Oryctolagus cuniculus: one gene and its partners. The protein of the gene in region 3 interacts with the protein of the main gene of each other region in a biochemical or structural test. Links are inferred from orthologs where the notes say so. Each region holds a gene or a part of one and is shown on either strand. Other genes may lie near its edges.

What was found.
Region 1: the proteins of ZBTB16 (region 3) and HDAC4 form a complex in vitro, tested with the Homo sapiens proteins (2 studies listed by BioGRID). The link is inferred for Oryctolagus cuniculus from reciprocal best matches to the Homo sapiens genes ZBTB16 and HDAC4.
Region 2: the proteins of ZBTB16 (region 3) and HBEGF form a complex in vitro, tested with the Homo sapiens proteins (2 studies listed by BioGRID). The link is inferred for Oryctolagus cuniculus from reciprocal best matches to the Homo sapiens genes ZBTB16 and HBEGF.
Region 4: the proteins of ZBTB16 (region 3) and HDAC5 form a complex in vitro, tested with the Homo sapiens proteins (2 studies listed by BioGRID). The link is inferred for Oryctolagus cuniculus from reciprocal best matches to the Homo sapiens genes ZBTB16 and HDAC5.

The regions. Positions count from the first base shown.
Region 1 is NC_091434.1:1,481,123-1,485,290, forward strand, and holds the start of HDAC4 (histone deacetylase 4), read left to right. Parts: upstream 1-1,368; 5' UTR 1,369-1,675; coding exon 1,676-1,736; intron 1,737-4,168. UniProt on the Homo sapiens protein: Responsible for the deacetylation of lysine residues on the N-terminal part of the core histones (H2A, H2B, H3 and H4).
Region 2 is NC_091437.1:28,000,317-28,004,432, reverse strand, and holds the start of HBEGF (proheparin-binding EGF-like growth factor), read left to right. Parts: upstream 1-1,316; 5' UTR 1,317-1,637; coding exon 1,638-1,683; intron 1,684-1,894; coding exon 1,895-2,068; intron 2,069-4,116. UniProt on the Homo sapiens protein: Growth factor that mediates its effects via EGFR, ERBB2 and ERBB4. Required for normal cardiac valve formation and normal heart function. Promotes smooth muscle cell proliferation. May be involved in macrophage-mediated cellular proliferation.
Region 3 is NC_091432.1:106,123,740-106,127,239, forward strand, and holds part of ZBTB16 (zinc finger and BTB domain-containing protein 16), read left to right. Parts: intron 1-3,298; coding exon 3,299-3,469; intron 3,470-3,500. UniProt on the Homo sapiens protein: Acts as a transcriptional repressor. Transcriptional repression may be mediated through recruitment of histone deacetylases to target promoters. May play a role in myeloid maturation and in the development and/or maintenance of other differentiated tissues.
Region 4 is NC_091448.1:19,129,351-19,133,430, forward strand, and holds the start of HDAC5 (histone deacetylase 5), read left to right. Parts: upstream 1-1,280; 5' UTR 1,281-1,651; coding exon 1,652-1,802; intron 1,803-4,080. UniProt on the Homo sapiens protein: Responsible for the deacetylation of lysine residues on the N-terminal part of the core histones (H2A, H2B, H3 and H4).

The DNA of each region.
Region 1 (4,168 bases), on a different chromosome or scaffold from region 3:
CTGAGCCTGGAGCCTGGAGCCTGGAGCCTGAGCCTGAGCCTGGAGCCTGAGCCTGAACCTGGAGCCTGGAGCCTGAGCCTGAGCCTGAGCCTGGAGCCTGAGCCTGAGCCTGAGCCTGAGCCTGAGCCTGGAGCCTGAGCCTGAGCCTGAGCCTGAGCCTGGAGCCTGAGCCTGAGCCTGAGCCTGAGCCTGGAGCCTGAGCCTGAGCCTGAGCCTGAGCCTGAGCCTGAACGTGAGCCTGGAGCCTGAACCTGAGCCTGAGCCTGAACGTGAGCCTGGAGCCTGAGCCTGGAGCCTGAGCCTGAGCCTGGAGCCTGAGCCTGGAGCCTGAGCCTGAGCCTGAACCTGGAGACTGAGCCTGAGCCTGGAGCCTGAGCCTGGAGCCTGAGCCTGAGCCTGAACCTGGAGACTGAGCCTGAGCCTGGAGCCTGAGCCTGAGCCTGGAGCCTGAGCCTGGAGCCTGAGCCTGAGCCTGAGCCTGGAGCCTGAGCCTGAGCCTGGAGCCTGAGCCTGGAGCCTGAGCCTGAGCCTGAACCTGGAGACTGAGCCTGAGCCTGGAGCCTGGAGCCTGAGCCTGGAGCCTGGAGCCCGCCCCCGGCCCCGGCAGTCAGGGACGCGGGGATGGCCCACAGCTGGCCGCTGGCACGCCGGGCCTTGCCCAGTCTGTAGTAATGAGAAGCGGCTTCGGCGCTCAGCTCTGTTTGCACAGTCCCCCCAGGGATGGCGGCCTGGATGGCCCGCTCACCGGTCAGACTTCCTGTGGTTCGGTGGTTTGCTTCTGAGTGCTAGCTGCTTCCGAAGCCCCTAAGTTGTTCGCCAACCACATGCTCTCCCCACTGTGGAGGGGACAAAGACAGAAATTTCCCAGATGTCTCCAAGTCAGGGCTGGGCCAGGCTGAAGCCAGCGGTCACTCAATCTGGGTCTCCCACGTGGGTATCGGGAACCCAGCCATCTGAGCCGTCTCCTGGTGCCTCCCGGGGTACCTGTTAGCAGGAAGCTGGGGTGCAGAGTGGAGCTGACTCAGCCAGTGCCCCCACGCGGGATGCGGTGTCCCAAGCCGTGGTTTAACTGCTGTGCCAAGCACCCAGCCCTGGAGGGGACATCTTGACCAGAGAGGCCAGGCGTGGGAGGGAGCCCCGGCCCTGCTGTCACAGCAGAGCCCGGGGTGGGGGGTGGGCATGTTTGGGGTGACCCCGTCTCCCTAGGCAAGCTCCGGAGGGGCAGGAGGGGTGGGGGTGGCCGCTTCCCCGGGGAGGCTCCCGATCGCCCCTCCTGTTGGCTGTGGGTCTCCCAGGCTCCCGCGACTCAGGCTGCTGTGGCCGCGTTGCTGCCTGTCTTCAAAGACGAACCTCCGTCAGGCCGCAGGCGAGCGCTTGCCTCAGCCGTGAGCGTGGGGTGTGAGGAGGGCAGGAGCAGGGCGCTTGCCCGGCGCGCGTTTGCTGCCAGTGCTGCGTGAGCCTGCCCTGGCGTGGCTGGGCCGGAACGTAAACAGTGTGCTGCGCAAGCCGCCAGCCGAGCCTCTCGTGGCGATCCCGTGTATCATCTGTCTGTTATGTAATGTGACAACATGGAGGTGAAATGGAAACCAGATGTCAGGGCGGGGCCGAGGGAGCCGTCCTCAGCCAGCGCCCGGGAGCAGGCAGGGCCTGGGCCGCCGCCCCGTGAAACCATCGAATGCCCTCGGAGGAGCGACTGCTGACGGGTCTCTGGGCACGAGCAGAAGTCCTGCCTGAAGGTAAAGTGCCGGTGGGCTAGGAGTGCCTCTGCGGGCAGACACGCGTCCCGGGGTTCCGGCGCGCTGCGGCCTGGTGACTTGTTAGCGGACCCGGGTTAGAATGCTGGGGCCGAGGGCTCTGGCCACCGCCCTTGGCCTGCGAGATGCCTCCAAAGGGCTCCGGATTAGGAGTGAAGGGGGGAGGTGTGGTTGGTCAGGGACTGGCTGTGTGGCCGGGGCCAGTGAGCGCTTACTGAGGGCTGGCTGCTCCACACTCGGGGCCCTAAAGAGGCAGCTCGCGGGCAGCAGAGGCCTCCGTGCTGTGCTGGGGGCCGAGCCCTGCCCCGCGCAGAGGTGGGCGCTGGGTGCCCTTGGGGAGTGAAAGGCACACCCCGTCCGTCAGAAGTGTGGTCTCCCTGGCTGGAAGCCGCCGTGGCCTCGGGTGAAGGCTGCGTGTTTCACTCGGACCAGAACCAGAGGCGTCTCCGCTGCTCTTTCCGTTCGGTCACGGATCTGCTGGGGAAAGCTGCGGCTTCCTCGCTGTGCTAAGGAGACGCTGGAGCGGAGCTCGGGGTGTGGCCGGGCCCCTCACCCTGGTTGGTTAAAGCTATGGAAGTGTTGCTTTCTCACTAGGAAGGGCTGTGGCCGGAAGCCACACAGGCGATCCCGCGTCCCGGGTCACCAGAGCCTGTGTCGGAGGTAGAAGGGGATCCCGGCTCCTTCCCGTCCCAAGGGCGGGGCTCTGTGCCGGGCTCTCCCGCTCACCGTGTCTGTGGGCCGTGGCTCCTGTGCAGGGGAGCGTTTCCTGGGTGCTGGGCCTGGCGAGATGTGTTCACGCAGCTTCGTCGTTTTAAAACACACCTGAGGGAGCAGAGAGGCTGGGGGGCCACGCCATGCTGTGCGGGAGGGGGCTGCAGCTGGGTCCTGGCTGTGCAGATGTCAGGAATCCCAGTGCTGTAGGGACAGGCGTGCGTGACGGTTCTGGGCGCTTCGGGCCGCAGCGTCTGGAAAGAAGTGGAGAACGCTCACCGGCCTCGCTCCGCTTCACCCGTTCTAAGAGGAAGCTGAGGAGGGGCCGTCGCGGCCGTGCTCGCCTAGAACCGGTGTGGCCGTCAGACAGTTACGCGAGCGAGTGCCCCGTCCGTGTTGGGAAGTGGACTTGGGGTGCTCAGTGAGCTGCCGGGGCGGGCCGCAGCAGTGCCCGTGTTTCCTGCGCAAGGACGGGGTGGGGGGGACATGCCTTTCTGCTCGCGGAGCACCCCTGCCCTGCGGGCTCCTGGCCAGCAGTGGGGACCTGGTTGTGACCACCTGGCCCCCGAGGTCTTGGGGCTCCCACCCTTGGAGGCTCCTCTCCCGCCTCCCTGCTTGGGCTGTAGGGCCTCACCAGGAGGCAGGCTCTTCAGTGTTTCATTTCTAAATATAGCCCCTGCTTCTGTTTTTAAAAATAGTTCATGCTTCCCGGAGGATCCTGGACACAGTTCCCATCCATCCCAGGGTGGCTGTTGGAACGTGGAGCCCACCCTGGGGCTCGGGGCGTTGTGCCCAAGCTCTCCTCCTGTCTTTCCAGACAAGGTGCAGGCCCAGTTGAGCATGGACGTCCTGAGGGCTCTACCCCCGGGGGTCGATGGAGTGTCTGAGGCCCAGGAGATGCTGGGATGGCACAGCCCAACCTGGCCAGCCCCTGGGGCCCCCACTCCTCCCTGACTCTCCAGACCCGGGGCATGGAGCTTCCCCAGGGAGGTGGACACAGGTGCAGCCCCCCCGCCCCCGCATCCCCATATACCCTGGACATCCCTACGGGTTCCTGTGGTCTCTTTGGAAAGTTTTCTCCACCAGTGGTGTCCTGGCCTAGGGGTAAGTGGGAAGTGGGGCTGTGGCTGCCTGGTGATTTGCTGGGGACATTGGGGAAGGGTCTTGCCTTGGCTATTTATTTATTTATTTATTTGAAAGGCAGAGTTACAGAGAGGGAGAGATGGAAGACAGAGAGAGAGAGAGAAAGAGAAAGAGAGAGCTTCCATCTGCTGGTTCACTCCCCAAATGCTGCAACAGCCAGGGCAGGGCAGGCTGAAGGCAGGAGCCAGGAGCTTCCTCCAGGTCTCCCACATGAGTGCAGGGGCCCAGGACTATCTTCTGCAGCTTTCTCAGGCTCATAGCAAGAAGCTGGATCAGAAGTGGAACAGCCAGGATTGGAACCAGCACCCACGTGGGATGCTGGCACAGCAGGGAGCAACTTTACCCACTACACCACAGCACCGGCCCCGTCAGTTGGCTCTTACACCACCACTCCTGTGTTACCAGGGCCTGGAGCCTGGGGGCTGTGGTTGAGCAGGTGTCCTGTGGTTTAAGTAAGGAGCCTTTTCCACTTTCGGTTCACATCATGAACATAAGGGGGTTAGGGTGGCTTGGCCCCTGGGGCAGGTGAGAGAGAGCAGCCCCGCCCCCTGGGGCAGGTG
Region 2 (4,116 bases), on a different chromosome or scaffold from region 3:
CCTGGCCTAGGGTAGGCAAGGAGTCTAGGAGAAGGGAGAGAAAGAGGGGTCCCAGTGGAATGATCAGCGATGACAGTTGGCAGTATGCACAGACTCCTTTATGAACAGCAGGTGGGGGGAGTCCTCCAAAAGCTCTCCACACGTTTATCATCATTGCTATTGTCCCCATTTGAGAAATGTGGAAACCGAGGCTCAGTGACATTCCATATCTTATCCAAGGTCATTGAGGAAGCAGCAAGGGCAGGATGCAAAAGCCAAGTCTGTAGTGATTCCAGTGCACCGGGGAATCCTAGGACGGTGGAGGGTTGCTGGGGCAAGGGAAGAGGGCAGAGCCAGAGTGACCCCTGTAAAGATGGGGGTGGGGGAGGGAGAGTGGGATCGACTGCATATAAATAGCAGGCCTGTTTTTATCCCTACACAGGGCTGAATCAGGCCAGGGCTCCATCTGGCACAAGCTGAGAGCTCCGAATGCCAACCCAGCCCTGTGTCAAACAACTCCCTCCCAGCATGTCCCTGGGAGCTGAAATATCTACTGAGAGAGTCATTTCTTTGGGTCAGGACAAGTGACTCCAGAAAACCCCTGTAAAAATATAAGGGCTGGAAGAGAAACACATCAAAATCCTGGCACCTGTTGAACACAGCAGTCTAGGTTAGCCAGGCCCCGGTCCCAGGGGAACTTTCAAAGGAGTGGGTGGGGGTGGGGATGCAGAAGTATGGGGAAACCGCGAGAAAAAGTTTGAAGCTGGCTTTCCTGAGCCTGCTGCTGTGACCCAGGGAACAGGTGAGGGGAAGCCACTCCAGCTCCGAGAGAATCTTCACACCTCCTTGGGTTTTGCTGGATTGACACCAAGCACCTGCAACTTTGTGGCTCGCCCCAGCTTGACACCTGCTGGCGTTCAGGCACCTAATGTTTAAATGAGAAGCAGATAATTATTTACTATCTGCTGTGTTAGTAGACCCAAAAATGGGCTTCTGAATCTCGGAAGGTGACACGTGTAGAGACCCCTGGTAGAGAGTAAGGACCGCCCAAGGGAGCAGACCCGGAACAAGAGCTCAGCTCAGCAGTCACAAGGCTGCAGAGCGACAGGCTTTTGGGGAAAGGTAGGTATTGATTCCCGCCTCCTGCCGGCCAACAGCCCTACTCACAGTCAGGCCGCGCCGGCCCTGGCCTGGTCCCCAAAAATGTGAGCGCCGCCGCCGCCTCCTCCTCCTTCGCTCCCTGCCTCCGCCGCGCCCGCAGGGTCGGGGGCTGCGCTGCCGGCGCCGCGAGCCGGGCGCGCTTCCCGGCGAGGGAGGGGGAGGGGGCGGCGCCGGGCGGGGCGGAGCCTGGTTGCCTCCCGGAGCCTTATTCCCGGCCGCGCGCCGGGAGCGCTCAGTCTGCCGAGGGAGCTGCGCGCCGCACGCGGGTGCTCGGCCTGACCTAGGTGCAGCGGCTCGGGCGTACGGACGGAGCGAGCGGACAGACGCACAGCAGCCGGTAGCTGCGCGCGGGTCCCCAGCCGGGTGTGCACCCAGAGGTGGGCGGCAGACTGTACCCCGCGAATCTCCTGCGCCCCTTCGCCTGGCTCCCCTGCTGGCCCCTTGGCCGCCGCCTTCAAAGTGATTGCTGCCTCGCCGCCTCCACTCGGTCCGCGACCATGAAGCTGCTGCCGTCGATGGTGCTGAAGCTCTTTCTGGCTGCAGGTGAGACGGCTGCTGACGCCCCCGGAGGTCGGGGTGGGGGAGGGGGGCGCTGTGCTGGGTGCACGGAGGAAGGTCGCTGCAGCGCCCCCGGCGCGGGCCACTTGGTGGGGCCCGTGCGCCCTGGCGGGCTAGCGAGCGGGCGTGGGCGTCGGTGCGTGGTGGCCCTGAGTCTGGGGTAGGGGTCTGATGCAGCCTCGCCCCTTGCTTGCAGTGCTCTCCGCGTTGGTGACTGGTGACAGCTTGGAACGGCTTCGGAGAGGGTTGGCGACTGGAACCAGCAACCCAGACCCTCCCACTGGAGCTACGGACCAGGACCAGCTGCTAACCCCAGGAGGTGGCTTCGGCCCGGAAGTACCGGACTTGGAAGAGGCAGATCTGTACAGAGGTAGGTGTGGAGGCTGCTGTCCTCTGACCGGCTTGGGCTGATCCGAAATTCTCTCTGTGGGTCGAGGGTATGCAAGGAGGACCCCCGAGGAAAGGCTGATCAGCCTGACGGGAGGACTGGGTGTATCCTGGGGTTCAGGTCTCACTCTGTCTTGTCCTTGGGTCTCACCTGCTAGGTGGCTCCCTACCTTGGGACAAACTGAAACAGGCAACTTGTGCTCTGAGGGAAATTGGATGGTGGGAACTAGGAATGGCTGAGCTGCTGTCCCTAGGGTTCCTGTGTGAAATGGGTGCGAGTCCCAATGCCACTTTAAGATAACACCCCTGGAGGTGCCCAGGCACAGGGCCAATGTGCAGTGTGGGTCCCCTCTGCCTAGGTAGGTCCTCCATCCAAGCTGGGAACACAGAAGGCGATGAGGCGCTCTCGGCCCCTGTAGGTGAGGCCAGCACCTCTGGGGGAGGCTATGGGTGATGGGCACGGGGGTCCCTAGGGAGCTGTTGAAATGCTGGGTGTCTGTGAGGGCTACCCGAAGCCTGGAAACTTCTGACTGCTGTGAGTCCCTACAGAAGGGCCACGTGGGGATCCTGCAACCAGCCTGTGTGGCTGTGACTGGGCACAGGCCCAGAGCAGAGTACAGAGCCTGCCAGCTTCCCTGGCCAGCCACCTGCAGTGATTCCGCAGGGTGGAGCAGGGCCCGGGCCTGGAGCCCCGGAATGACCATATTTGGTTGGAAAGCGTCCCACCTGTTCCAGCCCTGCCTGCTCCTCAGCTGCTGACCTCCCTCCCCACCCGGAGCTTCCTTTGCACGCTCTTTCTGCCTTGTAGAAATCGGAGTGTGCCCCCACGCTGGGCCTGGGCTCCCACTCTCACACTGGCGCTCTGGGGTCACCCATGGCTCTGGATTCTCCTGGCCCTCTTCTAGGCTGGGCAGGGCTGGGCTGTGACTCACCTCCCACCCACACGGCTGCTCCTCATACCTCTGCCGACCTGACTCACTGCTCCCTCTCCCCAGGAGAAGCCTGGCTGTCACCCTGCCACTCTATCTCCACTTTCTGATTGGCTTGGCCCTCTGTGCTTGCTCCCCTGCAAGCCCTGCTCACTGTGTTTCTCTCACTACCTGCCTCATCTTCTGAGCTCTGAAGGGATCCAGGAGTGGGTTAGAGCAAACCAGGGACTGGAGCACCTGCACCTGCTCCTCTGCCTTCTCTTGGTCTTGCTGGGAAGGGACAGTTTGCAGATCTGAAGAGCCAGGCTAAAATAAGTAGCTGCTACCATTTAACAAACGCGTCATGTTCTAGGCACGAGGTGTTAGCTTGGTTGGCTTAACACTCGTTGCAACCTTCTGCAATATTTGACCAAGAACCCCGAGTTACAGACACATCAAGCCACTTGCCCGGGGTTGTATGGCTGAAACCGTAGCACACGTCTGCTGACTTCAGAGCCTGTTCATTCCTGGCTCAACATCTAAGATGCTCTAGACTGGTGGGAGCGTGGCAGGCAACTCAGCCTACTGGGAAAGAACACTGGATGTGAAGTCCAGAGACCACAGTTCAACCCCAGTCCTGCGTGACCTCAGGCAAGTCATTCAACCTTTGGGACCTCAGCATTTTCATCTGAAAGCAGAAGGCCATGATATTCTTCGAAGTCCCTTCCAGCTTGAGGATGCTAGAGGTCCAGTCTAACGATCATGCGTACTCTTCTGCTAGATGCATGGCCGTAACCATGAATGTGGGCACGGTTTCCCTGCTGGGAATGGGTAGGCAGGGCTGGTGTCTTATCCCTGGGCGTGGCCCATGGCCAGTCCCAGCTGGATGTCTGGGTGAGGTTGTATTTCTCATTGAAGCCTGGAAAAATTGCTGGTGGGGTGGGGTGGGGTGGGCTGGAGCAGTCATCATCATTCTAGTTCTTTCTACTTCCTTATTTTCCGTCTCTTGACCCCTTATACACATTGTGTCCCCCTTCCCAGAGGGTTCTAAGTAGGACATTTGGGGCTAGATGTAAATGGATCTTTGAGAAAGTAGGTGAGCTGTAAAGGGCACAGAGCAAGG
Region 3 (3,500 bases):
GCTTGGGAAAAACTTGCACCTTGTGGGATGTCCTAGGAGGTGGAGAGAGACCACTAGGAGGACACGGCAGCATTTCCTTCGCAGGTCAGAGGTTCAGGCAGACCTGGTGAACCTGTCAGCAAGACTCTGAGCGGGCCGCCTGGAGCTCCACGTGTGTTTCTTCTTCCCTGCTCAATCCCAGGCCCTGGTCCTGCCGCGCTGTCTCCCTGGGATTTTATTTCTCCGCCCCTCTTCCTGTGCTCACAGCACCTGTCCTGATCTGGCCCCCACCCTCTCCCAGTGGTAGCCCAAGAGCCATCGGCTCTCTTCCTGCTTCCAGCCACTTGCCGTGGCTCTTGGTCCCTGCATTGTGCCAGAGACCCTGCCCTTCTCCGGCACAGGCCATGCCGAGCCAGCACCACGCTTGTGCAACAACTGACCGTAGGTGAGCAGCTTCTGCACAGTAGAGAGCTGTTGCTCCAGTCCTGCAGGCTGGGAGGTTTGAGATCGGGATGAGCGCGGGCAGGTGCTGGTCCCTCTTCTAGGTTGCAGGCTGTGATGTGTCCTCACCTGGTGCAAGGGGCAGGGGAGCCCTCTGGGGTCCTTTTTATAAGAGCACTAGTCCCATTCGTGACCAGACCGGACACTCCCAGAGGCCCTTCCTGCGAATACCATCACTTTGGGGTTAGGATGTCTGCATCCAGCTCTTTGGAGAGACACAGACATCAGACCCTGGCAACCCCCAGTACCTGTGTGGCACTGCTGTGTTACCTGTAGAATGATCTGAGCTGTCTCACCTGGCACCTGTGCCCCAGTCACCTTCCCCGCTTATCTCCATCCCCAGGGCCTGTCCTCTGGCTCCACCTGCTCTGAAATTGGCCTGTGGCATTTCCTTAGCTTGGAAAATATGCCCACCTCCTAGTCCTTGCTTCTCATTTCTTAAAGCCTGACTCAGAATCTTCCCTGAAGCCCCCAGAGTCACCTGCCTTACCCTCTGTTGGCTTGCCAGTGGCCTCCACTGGTCTCGGACCCAGTTTTCTCTGCTTGACCTCAGCCTTGCCCTGGTCACCTCGCATGGTGCCTGCTTCAGTGGATATCGAGTGGCTTGGGCCATCCTGGGAAGTAGGGCTGGCATAGTGGGGCAGCTTCAAGGGACCTTGGGAAGGCTAAAGGGGCAGATGGCTGCAGGAGTCTGTCTGCCCTGCTGAGTGATAGCAGCACTTAAGAGTACCCTGAGCCTGGCTTGCTAGGCCCGGGGTGTCCTCCTGGGGTTGCCATAGATGGTGTTCATACATGTTCTGACCTGGGAGCCTCAGAAGATTGTTGTTAAAGGGTGTGGCTGGCCCAGGAAGCCTGCTCCACCTTGGTGATTTAAGGTGGATATTTGAACGCCTAGCTTGATTGGGACTGTCTGTGGGGTGACAGAGAGGGTGCCAGTCCTGGGTAGGACCCAGGGCTCAAGCAGCGGGGACTATTGCCACAGAACGTGTTGCAGATGCACTCCACTCCTGTGTATGTTCAGGACTCACTGTCAGCTCTTGGGCTGCTCTGCCCAGGCACACCATTTCCCTCTGCGTGTCCCCCTCCATCAGGTGGAGCCAGCCCCCTCATCACAACCTCTCAGAGATCCTGCTGGCTTTAAGAAGTGTTAGAAAACTTCAGAGGAGGGCTGTGCCTTGTGACCCAGCTCCCCACCCACTCTTCCTGGCCCAGAGCTCCAGAGCCGTTCCTGGAGGAGGCCCTGGGTGCACTGGTGCCTCTTGCTGTCATTCCTGTGCCTTTTTTGGGGAGATCCAGACAGACATGTGCCAGCCTTGAAGTACAGCTGGGCTCAACCCCATGGTTTCTAAAAGCAGACAGACGAAGCTATTTCCAGATCCCAACTCTGCCCCTTTCTACTGGGTGGCCTTAGCCAAGTTATTTGGTTTCTGCTTTCCCATTTTGAAGAAAGGGGGTAAGAATGGCTGCCTGGTACACTTGGAAGTTTTAAAGGAGATGACGTCTAGATAAAGTACTTAGCACAGTGCCTGCACTGGTTTCCCTTCCCTTCTGCTCTTTGAGGGCCAGGGGCAGAATCCTGTGTTCACTTGTGCTCCCCACCCCTTGCTCAGCCTCCCTGACTGCTGGGGAGGGGAGCATGGTTGCAGGGGCCTGGGATTCAGTGTCTGCAAAGGGAAGGGGGGTCTATGGGTGGATGTGAGGGGTTGGGCAGAGGCTGCCCCCGTCTTCTCAGGCTATTCCAAACTCAGCTACAAATGGGACTGATGTGGTGAGACCCAGACTGCCCATTGGCTGTCTACCTTGCTGGGCTGAGAAGGCAGCAAGGTGTATCATACAGTCCTCTCTCTTCACCCCCAGCTGCCGCCAGAAACTCCCTGGTTCTATACCTAGTCACGATGACCTGGCACCCAGTCCGCTGTGGGCTGATTGATAGGCGCTAGGCCTGACCACCTTTTCTGCTTTGTGTCCCTTGCCCAGGGGATAGTGGTGTGGGGCTAAGCACAAGTGACATAGCCAGGAAGCCAGCAGACATGGCCAAAGAACTGGAATCCAGTATGGTGGGCAAGGAGCTACCATCTAGGACTTGGGCTCCTGTGTTGCTAGAGCCAAGAAGGCCATGGCTCAGAGCAGCCAAAGAGAACATCCTACTTGTAGAAGGCACCAAAATGACATCCTTATTTGTTGAATGAATGGGCCTTTCAGATTCCTGCTTTAGCGAATGGAGAAGTAGCTGAAAGCCTAGGGTCTATAGCAGGTCTTAGGAAAGAATTCAAATCCAGGCAGCTGGCTGTATATCCGAGATATTCCCACTTGGAAACTCCATGGATCATTGCACAAGTTACTCAGTTTCTATGTGCTTCAGACTCCTTATATGAAGGGTGAGGTGAGTACAGCCTACCTTTTGGAATTGTGGTTTAGAATGAGTTACGTTAGAACGATGCCAAGCCTCTGTCTTCCTCATCATTGTTTTTCCTCTTCCACTCCTGCTGCAGATTCTGCAGAGCCCCTCTGCACTGTGTCCTTAGTACCCTGCCTTCTGCATAGCACCCAGCTCTACTGCAGAGGCAGGTTGGCCGCTGTGATGTATTTGCTTAACAGCTTTCTCCCTCTAGACTTTAGGTTCCGCCTGATGCCACGTGAGTGACTCGACTGTACAGCCCTGACGCCACGTGGGTGACTCGGCTGCCTCCGGATTTGCTCCTGAGCCTGGGCACCTGGGGGTGCTAGTCCTGAGGCTGGTTCTCCCTGTGCCCTGAATGGGTTGATGGTGGCCTTGTGTGTCCACCTCCTGAGGCTCTTCCTTCTGCTGTCTTCCCAGGCACAGACATGGCCGTCTTCTGTCTGCTGTGTGGGAAGCGCTTCCAGGCACAGAGCGCGCTCCAGCAGCACATGGAGGTCCACGCAGGCGTGCGTAGCTACATCTGCAGCGAGTGCAACCGCACCTTCCCCAGCCACACGGCCCTGAAACGCCACCTGCGCTCACACACAGGTAGGCCCATCCAGGTGGTGGGTGGGGGTCT
Region 4 (4,080 bases), on a different chromosome or scaffold from region 3:
CCGTGTCCTTGGCTGGCCAGCTTCTCCCAGGCTCTGACAGGAGGGTGAGGTCATTCAGTCCAGAGACAGGTGTCCCTGGCTCCATGCCTGGAGTAGGGGGCAAGGAGGGGCCAGGAGAGGGCTCCAAAATAGCAACTGTGACATCAGGAAGGGGGAGGGGGATAGAGACCCAGGAATAACCAGGCTATTAAAAGGCTCCAGTGAGGTCAGGAGGCCAAGTGGGATCTCTACACTAGTGGGAGGTGTAAGCTGGGGAGGTGAGGCAGGCCAGCAGTGGCGAGGGCAGGCCCATGGCCCCAGGTCCCAGCAGGGTCCAAGTAACAGGGGCTGCTCTGCCAGCCCGAGGCTGGTTGAGGGGGGACTCTTCACTCTTCCTGGAGGGCTCCAACCTCAAATCATTTCCTCCTTGGGTGTGGGGATCATCGGACCTGTTCCGGGAAACCCAGGGCCAGCTACGTGCATTAACTTGCATGGGAGGCAGTGCAGTGTGGTGGTTAGAGCTCAGCTTTGCACCCCGGATGTCCCAGCCCCCTGTGTAAGCAGCTATGTGACCTAGGATGAGTGACTTCATTGCTCTGGGCCTCGGTTTCCCTACCTGTACCTCACTCCCGAGGTCATCATGCAGGATAAATTAGGTGATGTGTATGATGCTCCCAGCAGCGCACGCGACATGCTGCCAGGGAAGTGCTTCCTGTGCTCTGAGAACTGGCAGCTGCTGTCTGGTCCCCGTCCCCTTTCCTGGCCTGGACTGAGGCCTGCCCAATACGAGGCTCCCTGCCCCCTGGGAGGCAGCCCCTGGAGGCCAGCACTGCAGAGAGGACCGGAGGGAGCTGCCATTGAGTGTCTGGCTGTCCAGGGGGCTCCCTGCTGGTTGAGGGGGTGGGGAGGGCAAAAGTTAAACAAATCCCCAGGCAGCTGTTGAGAGAACTCCAGGCAAGGTGCAAGGTTAGGCCAGGTGGCCGGGTGTCTGCCAGTCTCTCCCAGCCCCTTCCATTTCTTTTCCTGCTTTGGGTGGCAGGACCAGACCAAGTCTGACTTCTTGATCGAGCCCCTTGCTCCCAGCCCACGCCCGAGTACCCTGGCCTTGGCCCTGAGTGCAGGCTCTCCCCCGCTCCCATCCCCCTCGCCTGGCGCTTCCTCCTGGGGTGGAACGCGCCTCCCCCATGGGGCCTCCGCCAGGCCGGGCTCCTGGCAGCCGGCCGGCGGCTCCCTGAGCATGCTCCACCTATTTATAGACAGGGCCCTCCCCCAACTGCTATTTCAGTCTCCTGCCAGCTGCCGGCGGCTCATTCGGGAAGGAGGAGCAGGGAGCCAGGCCCAGAGCTGTCACCCGGGGCTGGGAGGGAACACAGAGAGCCCGTCTGCCCAACGAGCTCCTCTTCCTGTCCCCTGAGTGCTCAGCCAGACCCCAGCTCCTGGGAACTGAGGACGCGCCAGTGGTCGGCGCCCCTCTGGGGAGAGCTAGGCCACGGTTCCAGGGCCCCGGGGCCCCTCCTGCCCCTGCCACCACTAGGAGCGCCCAGGCCGGATGAGGCGCCTCCCCACAGTGCGGGTCCCGGCAGCCGTGGCCTCAGGGAGCCCCTGAGCAGTGCAGACCGCACCCGGCACCTTCCCCGCATCGGCTCCCCGCCTCAGGCGGCCCCTCCCTGGCATGCTGCTGGTGCCCAAGGCGCAGGGGCTGGTGGAGATGCTGCAGACCATCTACGAGACGGAATCCTGTTTCTCAGCAGATGGCATGTCAGGCCGGGAACCAGCCCTGGAGATCCTGCCCCGGACTCCTCTGCACAGCATCCCCGTGGCAGGTGAGTGCCTCGGCGCCCTCCTTGGGCTCTGTTCTTGGGCATCCTGGTCCCTGAGGCAGAGCAGCTGGCTCTGAGCCCTGCCCAGGTGGGCTCCTGCTTCAGGCTCTCTCGAGGGTGGCGGTGAGCATCCGTGGGGCTCGGCAGGGGGCAGGGCAGGGTGCTCACAGGTGGCTGCCTTCCCCCGGGCCACGCAGCTGCACCACGCTGCATCCCTCCCGTCCCTTTGGCTTCCGGCAGGGTCTGTCCCAGCTGCTGGGGGCTGGGGATTACTTGAGGCTCCTGGCCTAGTTGGCACCACGGTCAAGGGGGAGGAAGTGGGCCAGAGACCTGGCTCCAGGCTGCCTGCTCCCCAGCTTGGGGCAGGGGAAGACGCTGAAGCGACCCAGCTGCTTCGGCTGGTTTGTGCTGGGTAGAGGGTCGAGTGCAGTGATTTCAGCAGGTCCCCAGTCAGGCGGCGTCTGAGGATCGGACACTGTGGGGGAGATGCTGTGTGGTTGTGGGGGGTTCCACAGAGGCTGGCGGTTGGCGTGCGGGGGGCGCGGCTGCCCCGGCTCCCGGCTCCCCCATGTCTCCCCTCTCCCCGGGCCTGGCCTCAGCCCCACCTCTCTAGGATGCAGAGGCATTGCTCTGGCTCAGATGGGCTTCCGGACCCCCAGCCCTGGCTGCAGGATGGCCCCTTCCCCGGCTGCCTTCGCAGCAGCAATGCTTTCAGCCCTTGGCTGGGGGTGGGGTCCCCCAGAGCCGGGCCACTCCTTCCCTCACTCCCAGGAACCTGTTGGCAGCATCAGGCCTTGCTGGCACAGCCTCCCCACCAGGCCGGCACCACAGGATGCTTCCTCCAGGGAGGAGCCTGCTGGACCCACGCCCACCTGCCCCTCCTGGCAGTGGCTTGGCACTGTGTGTGTGTGTGTGTGTGCGCGCGCGCGCCCGTGCATAGGGAGTCCTTGCCTCTGGTTACGTGGGTGTGGATCCCAAGCTTCGAGTTAGAAGGTGGGAAGTGTGTGCCTCTGCAGGTTCCTGTGGCTCAGGGCTGGCTAGGGAGAAGGTTACAATGGAACTGGGATGTGTCAGAGGATGAATGTTTTGGGAAGGGTTTGGAAAAGCCTTGGCACATGGCCTGCCACCTGCCTGGGCAGGGATTTCCGTGCGGCATCCTAGCGTGGGGGCACAGCGTGGAGACCAGCCCTGCAGGGTCCATGCAGGCCCCTGGGACTAGGTGGGCGTCCACAGAGGCGCTCACTCGTGCCTACCCAGTTCTGAGCTTGAGCTAAGGACCTTTCTGGCTGGCTTTCAGCCTCTGCGACTCCAGGCAGTCTCTTGCAAAGCAAAATGAACAGTCGCCCAGAGCATCTGCTGGGGGCAGCTCTACCGGCGGCCACACCAGCCAGCCCATCCCACCCCGCCCCTGCTGCTCGGTAGCCTACAAGCTGCAGCCAGCTCGGGCCCAGGGTTCCTCTTCACATTTCGAGGTAGACCCCAGGAACCTCGCAGGCCACAACCCTGCTCCCCCAGCCCTTCGCTAAGCCCACCTGCCCTGGCCCCCCCGCCCCCGCCGCTGCCCGGCCTGCTGCGTGGTGGCATGGTCCATGCTGGCAGGGGAGAGGCGTGAGTCACCTCAGCAGCTCGGGGAGAGGCCGAGGAATGTTCCCCCTGCGCGGCTCTGATGCTGTGTCTGTGACGCGGCTCGGGACAGATATAGGCCTGGAGCTCGGCGGCCTTGTTTTTTTTTTGGACTCTGGAATGTAAATAGACGTTTCAAATAGAAACACTTTAACCTTTGGGTTAAAAAAAAAATCCTCCCTGGATAAACATGGCCATGAGGGCCCAGTCAGCCTGGTGATTCCCTCCCCACCCCAGCCCCTCCCCCGCCTCCCGGTCCCCCTCCTGATCCCTCTGCAGCCGGGATGCAGGGATGCGCTTTGGGGCTGAACGTGTCGCACAGGCGTCCCTAGCCCAAGGGGTTGGGACGAGGGGCTCTTCAGGGTGGTGGCAGCTGCTACCTCTAGCAGCAAGTCGCAGGAACCCTGTCTGGGGGGCGGCCTTCTTCTTTGGGGAGTCTTGCTCACTGCCATTGCCCTGCGGCTACCATAGTGCCCGGCCCTGGGATGAATGAATGTTACAGGAAGGGCTGGGGTTGCTGGCCAGGGGCTCGGCCCTCTGGGTGAATAGCCAGCTCCAGTGTGTCGCCCCAGCAGCTGAGCCGTGGAGCCTGGGGCTCTGCTGTTGTTGCTTCAGGGGCCTGGGGTGTGGGAGGTGAATCTTGGCGTCCACCCGTGGT